Linked DNA regions of Drosophila melanogaster. The protein of the gene in region 2 interacts with the protein of the main gene of each other region in a pairwise test. Each region holds a gene or a part of one and is shown on either strand. Other genes may lie near its edges.

Region 1 (3,790 bases), on a different chromosome or scaffold from region 2:
AAATGCAAATTATCCAAATCCCCCAAAGGTCTGTTGCCATTTCGATTGCGGCTCGGCTGTTGCTATATCGTCCTGTTTATGCCTGATTAAAGTCAAACAACAAACATATTCTGAGCTGCATTTACCAGACAATCGTATAAACATATACACATGTGGTCATCAGAATAGAATTTATTAGTTGGGAGATCTACAAATCTGCCAATTATTTTAAGCAAATTGTTTTTACTCTCCTTTAACGCAAACAACTTTTATTTATTTAGTTAGTAGCCCTAATTAATATATTACCTGCTAAGTAATACTTGGAACTATTGTTTTCCATACAAATATATAATCCCGCATCTCTGGCCCGAAAAGTCCTCTCTAATCTATGCAGAGAAATGCTTGACAGTGCCTTGTTGTGTGGCTCAACTTTGGCCCCAATCCTAAATCCTTTGTGTCCTTCGTGGCCAGGATTTGCTTCTCATTACCAAGAAGCCCCCATTGTTCGCTCCACTGGGAGGAGCACGTGTGAGAAAGGTTGATGGCCAGGGACATGGGTTTGTGCAGTTTGGTTCTCGCCTTCTCCGCTCCCAAATTATGCAAATTGCTCGAAATTTTGCATTGGATAATTTCCCTATTTGCCCGTAATGCTCAATAAAAAAAAAAAAAATACAAACACAAAAAACATTTTATGACCCAAGAGACCAACGATGGCAGCAAATGGCTGAGCAGAAAAAATACTGAACAGTTGTATAAATGCACCAACAAAAATAAAAATAATATAAAAACAGAACAAACTGCGACGCATTTAATTAAAAATGTAATTACCCATGCTTTTCAACAGCCACATTGCTCGAAGCGGTAGCCAGAGGCTATGAAAACATTATTCGGAAAATTGTTGCAAATTTAATTGTTAAATCCTGCTATATTTTACTGCGGTGTTACTGCATCACGGAGCAGTTGTAGTTTTTTCCATTTCACAAATTTATCTTACTGAAAATGAGTTTAAGAACCATGTCAGAAAAGAGCGTGGGGCAACTAACAAAAAAAAAATTTTAAAAAACTAACTAGTAATCTTTTGTTGTCAATGCCTTGAATTTTCCACAATTTCAGTCTAAATGGAAAACTGTCAATGAAAAGACAATATTTAAACACAACTATTTTCGAAAAACTAAATTTTAAAATTCATCTTTTCGGGAAATCCAAATTTTAGCCCAAGGTATACTTACAATTTGCCATGGATGACTTTGATTTCAGTAGTCCACCTCCGGAGGTACGAACAGTTCATACCCACACGCTGAATGATGAACAGCTCAAGGATTGTGAGGCGGCCTTCGCCCTCTTCGACGACGATAATGCCAAGGTCATTCCGATCAAGTTATTGAGAGATTGCCTGCGAGCCGTGGCCCACAACCCGCCGGAAAACGAGATACAGGATTATATAACCGAAATTGATACGGATGGATCCGGCGAGCTTTATCTCAGTGATTTCCTATACATCATGTCGAAACGGTACGAGAATTTGACCGTCGAAGATGAAGTTATCCTCGCTTTCAAAGTCTTCGACAAAGATGGATCTGGCTTTATACACGAGAATGAGTTCCGTCAGATAATGACTGAATATGGCGATGAAATGGAAGAGGACGAGATCGAGGAAATGATACGTGATGCCGACGCCAACACGGAACTGAAAATCGACTACGTTCGCTTTGTGACCATGATGATGGAGACGTAACACTCTCTTTGAAAAATAAAAAACATAACCGATTGTAGATCTAATCAATAAATTTCAAAAGCATGGCCAATGGAATCGAAGATCTTGAAATATCGGATACCACCAGTTTGGACTATTCTTTAAAAAAAAAAAAAAGCCAATATACAATAGATAAAATGATAACAAGAGTAGGCTTTTCTTGTTATTAAATTATAAATATGAAGTTGTGAACTAAAGTTTGTCGAAAATTTGTAGTGAGTGTTCAGTGACCCCAAAATTTTCCCACCCCCAACCCCTTCCTTTGGCCATGGATTTCGAATTCCTTACTCCGCCGCCAGAGGAACGGACCATTCGCACCCACAATCTGACCGAAGAACAGGTCAAGGATTTGGAGATTGCCTTTTCCCTGTTTGACGACCAAGACACTAAGGTTATTCCTATAACAAATCTCAGGCAACTAATGCTGTCTGTGGCCCACTATCCCAGTGATATGGAATTGCAGGAAATTCAGGCCGAGATCGATGCTGATGGATCCGGTGAGTTATATCTCAGCGATTTCCTTCACATCATGTCTCAGAGGTACGCAAACATGTCTACCGAGGATGAAATTATAGCTGCATTCAGAGTCTTTGACAAAGAAGGAACCGGCTTAATATCTGAATCGGAATTTCGTCACATAATGCAGAACATGGGGGAGCAATTGACGGATGATGAGGTGGAGGAGATCATCCGTGATGCAAATTCTGATTTGGAAGGCAATATAGACTATGTGCGATTTGTCAGAATGATGTCCACTACATAAGGAAAAAGCAGGCTTTAGGGGTTGGGAACCCGACCTGTCAGTATCAGTATCATCAAAACAGTTTCGGCTCATTCCCTTTCGTAAATTCCAACAGTCTATAGCTCTGCAAGCATTTAAAAATATCTCGATAAATACCGAAAATCTTTGAAAATTTATCAAGATGTCCGAACTAACGGAGGAGCAGATTGCCGAGTTCAAGGATGCCTTTGTCCAGTTCGACAAGGAGGGAACCGGCAAGATCGCCACCCGTGAGCTGGGCACATTGATGCGCACCTTGGGCCAGAATCCAACGGAGGCCGAGTTGCAAGATTTGATAGCTGAGGCCGAGAACAACAACAATGGCCAACTGAACTTCACTGAGTTCTGCGGTATAATGGCCAAGCAAATGCGGGAAACTGACACTGAGGAGGAAATGCGTGAGGCATTCAAGATTTTTGATCGTGATGGCGATGGCTTTATATCACCAGCTGAGCTTCGCTTTGTGATGATCAATCTGGGCGAAAAGGTCACCGACGAGGAGATCGATGAGATGATTCGCGAGGCTGATTTTGATGGGGATGGCATGATCAACTACGAGGAATTCGTATGGATGATAAGCCAGAAGTAGTACAGCTACTTTAAATGAAATAAAAATATTTGGGGTCACTGCATAAAAAAAATCGTGTATTTCTCTTCAAAAAATACAATTTACACTTCTCTGCGGTCTAACTATTTTCGAACACTTTTTAATACGCCCCCAATTATTTCAATTATATTTTTGCGGTGTGCTAGTTTTTCCTTTGCCTAATTCGGAGACCGAGAATTTTTCAAGCATGTCCTGCTCTTAAAAATGTTTGATGAAGGCACCCCATTTCGGTAATTGTGGTTGGTTTAAGGAATTTTCGCCTCGCCTTCTTCAGGTGAAAACTTTCAGCATGAAACACTCGACGTGGTTTTAGTCCGCCTTTTCGTTTCCCTGGCAAGTGGTTTTTGCTTCCACATGCGGCACCTTTGTGGCCAGACGAACAATTTTCCTGTTGCTTAAATTCAATTTGCTTATGCATTAAAATTAAATTTTACTGTGGCCTCAGCGGGCCCGGCTCGTACTCCTTGCTGGAAGCAACCTCTTGGGGTCTTTGGGGCTTGTGTCTGACTTTATAAATATTTCGTGTGTGTTGTGTACGCGCATGTATGAATTTTCAATTTTTTGAACAAGTTTCGGTTTCAGTTCAGACATGTCAAAATGTCAACTTGCTTAATTGAGAGTCCGCAAAACATCGAGCATCGCATCGCATTGCATCGCATTGCATCGAATC
Region 2 (3,460 bases):
AGCTGGCCCAGAATGTAAAACTGGTGGCCAAGCTGCTGTCCGAAAAGGTTCACGTAAGCCAGGAGCAACTTTTGGCCGTCCAGCAGCACCTGGACCCCAACCACATCTACCACATTACGAAGTTTACAGCCTCAAATGGCTCGCTATCAGATTCCGGCATCTCTGATGGAGGAGCTACTTCTGATGGTGGCCTGTCCGAGAGGGAGCGACGACTGGGAGTTCTTCGACGCCTAGCAAAGCAGTTGGAACTAGCTCTGGCGCCGGGAAGCGAAGCCATGCGTTCTATTGCTGCCCGAATGGAAAGTGCCGAGGCCGACCTGAAGCACCTGCAGAACACCTGTAGAGACTTAATTGTTCGCACTGCAGCTAGCCACCAGCAGAAGCAGCAGATCCAGCAAAATCAGACCCAGCAGGTGTCACCGAAGGCCAATGGACACATTAAGAAGCAGGCCGCAAAGGGCAAGGCAGAACCCCAGTCGCCTGGCAGACGTGGTAAAGGAGCTCGAAAGGCGCGTCAGGCCAAGAAGGCTGGAGAGGATCAGCAAGTAGAGGAGCCAAGTCTCAGCCCAGAACAGCAGAAGATGGTCCTGAAGCAACTCAAGACCTTGACAAGTGGCGATGGTGGGGACGACCCCTCTGACGATCCCTCGTTGCTCTTCAACCTGGAAAGCTCCGAGGAAGATGGAGAGGGAGCGGATCCTGCACAGACCTCTAAGCGAGGGTGGGCGTGGCGCATCGCGAGGGCGGCAGTGCCTATGCAGGTGGCCCTGTTCACAATCTTCTGCGCTGCCTGCCTGATGCAACCCAACTGCTGCGACAATCTGAACAACCTGTCCATGAGCTTCACGCCGCAGCTCCGCTATATCCGTGGACCACCTCCGATCTGAGGACAGAGCGCGACTAATTAAGCAGGCCGCTAATCGTTGTAGGTTACCGTTACGTTATGTTAAGGCATTTAACAGCTGTAACTAGAGTTAACCAGCGCAACCAGCCACTTAGGCAGAGCCACTAAGAGCTCGCCTGTGGCGCGCGTTTTCCGCGCTCGAGGTTTTACAATCCCGAACAGAGCGCTCTCCTCCGAAAGGTGCGACACCCAGAGGCAGCCCAATTTTATATGTCTAATTTAGGTAGCGAGCGCGAAAGGAACGCAATTTATAGTAAGGATGTATTTGTTATTTCGGTTAATTTCCTACGAGTTTAGGTTGCTGTTCGATTGAACGCTGAATATGTACTTAGGCGAGGAGCAGACGATGCCCAGCCACGTGTAAACTGCCGCATAAAGGAACAAAGGGGCGGATCGTCCCCCAGATTCTTACCCAGTAAATATGATACAAACACAATGATCAATTGAGTGGCGTTTTTGTATACTTTTTTGTTTGAAAAACACTAAAGTGCCTACAAATGCGAACTGTGAACGAGGAGCTACCAGCAGATGACAAAGGATCCGTCGAGGAGTCCAAACGAGAGTATGAATCCAAGGCACCGAAGCAAACAGAAGCTAAAAAGCCAACAGCACTAAGGAGCTAGCAATGGAGCTCACCAGAACAGCGATGAAGAATCAGAGTTTATATTTTTATACGCAACGCAACTATACACAATCAGTGCGGAGACAACGAATCTTCAGCCAACACACATCATACGTTTTATGTCTATTATATTAATAGGATAAACCTTACACTTATTTTGCAAGAAAACAAAAATTCAACAAAAAAAAAAAAAACGAAAATATCTCTTAGGTTCGTGTTTGGAATTCCTAGACTTAGTTTATGGTTTACTCACTCCTGGCAGATGATCATTGTAATATACTTATAAGGTTTATACTATACTTTGTGCGTTTTCAAAACTTTCACTTGGCATTAAAAATACAAAACAGAAAATATCATTTATACACAAAAAAACATTAAAGAAAAAGTATTAAAAAGAAAAAATCGATTTCTGGCTTTAATTCAACATTTCGTAGCTTGCTTCTAGGATAAATGTAGGCTGAAAATAGGCTGGAAGCTTTTGAGCTCACTAAAGATGTATGGTCAAAGCGCTTATAAGTGCCTCCGGGTGCTAAAGATCTTTTATAGACATAGCAACCTGGACTTGATATATGTAACTTAGTTTGCAGTTAATTTACTTCATTCTCCCCAAAATTATCTGCCTAAAATGGTCTAGGGAACTTGCTACAAAATCAAGTGTGTATATAATAATGATCTAGAAACCGGAGGGCAACGGCGACGAATAGGGGCATTATCGGGACCACCTGGAGGCCGCTGAAGGGACCTAACACTACCTAAAATAAACAGCTTCGTCATGGCGGCTCTGGTGGACGAAAGCAACTACGCCTATGTGAAGCAGGTGGCTCTGGACTGGCGGGAGCTGGTGCGCGAGAAGCGCAAGAGCAATATCTTTTCGCCCACGATAAGCATGCAGGCGGTTGATTCCCAACAGCCGATAGGGGACACAAGGTCGCGGACACAGTCGATGATTCCGGCCGAGAGACGCGAGTCCAGCTTCTACCGGCACCGCTTCTCGCAGCAGGCCAAGCCCGTGGAGATCGAGTGCCAGGAGGTCGGATCAATGGAGCCAGACCGCATTCGGGTTAGCGGAGACATTCTGCTCTACATCTACCAACCGATTTTTGTGTCAAACACAGTGATGGCCTCCATTCAAGCCTGGTCGCCCAGTGAAATAAGCATAACGTCGTCCAAACTGAAGGAGCCTATTAGAGAAGAGAACCCCACGGCTAAGGTGGAATCCGATCCATCACCCGAGCCCATGTCGCCGTAATCATGAAATCCGGTGATTCTTTTTATACCATCCTAATCGTTTAGCACTTGTGAGCAATAAAGAAAATGTAAATCTGACCATTTTAACAGAAACGTAATGCCAAATCATTACAGCGTTTAAAGGGCGTATCTCAGACCCGTAGCCAGGTTTCTTTAAACCAGTTTCTTGCCTACTCTTGTCTAAGCTCGATATCCTGTTTGCCTTCCATCGAACATCCTCAATTTGTGGGACGTCCGTTGACGTTGATGGATCTGCGCCAAATGAAACGCACTGCAAAGCTGACCTGAACGAGGGAACACCACCTACATATATGCCGCACGGCGACAAAGGTGAAACCCAAAGCAGGGCTTCCTTCAGAAAGTTTTGCTTATGTAAAGCCAACAACCAATGAAAATTGAGTTAAGTACATAAATTCAAACTTCCCCTCTTCCATGAGACGTGGATTTCTCTGTCTAACACACAAGCAGCCATATCTATGCATCCCTTTTCTGTGCATTCAGTTTTATAGCTATCTCAGTCTACTGTTAAGTGCATAGCATAGACACGAACCACTGTTAAACCTTTAAGAACGCCGTAAAAAGAAGTAATCAATAAATTTACGAGGTAGTTAATGAAGTCTAGACCGAGTAGATAATGTAATAAATTAAATTAAAAGGTTAGATTTTAAGCTCTGTTTATCTGTGCG

The links.
Region 1: the proteins of CG13891 (region 2) and Acam interact in a two-hybrid assay, tested with the Drosophila melanogaster proteins (2 studies listed by BioGRID).

What each region holds. Positions count from the first base shown.
Region 1 is NT_033777.3:25,809,989-25,813,778, forward strand, and holds Acam (androcam), read left to right. Parts: upstream 1-1,922; 5' UTR 1,923-2,000; coding exon of another isoform or gene 2,001-2,495; 5' UTR 2,496-2,655; coding exon 2,656-3,102; 3' UTR 3,103-3,146; downstream 3,147-3,790. Other genes in the region: CG5024 (uncharacterized protein), read left to right, coding at 1,217-1,714; CG17770 (uncharacterized protein), read left to right, coding at 2,001-2,495. UniProt on the Drosophila melanogaster protein: May be involved in calcium-mediated signal transduction.
Region 2 is NT_037436.4:432,545-436,004, reverse strand, and holds CG13891 (uncharacterized protein), read left to right. Parts: upstream 1-2,098; 5' UTR 2,099-2,298; coding exon 2,299-2,775; 3' UTR 2,776-2,859; downstream 2,860-3,460. Other genes in the region: klar (klarsicht), read left to right, coding at 1-887.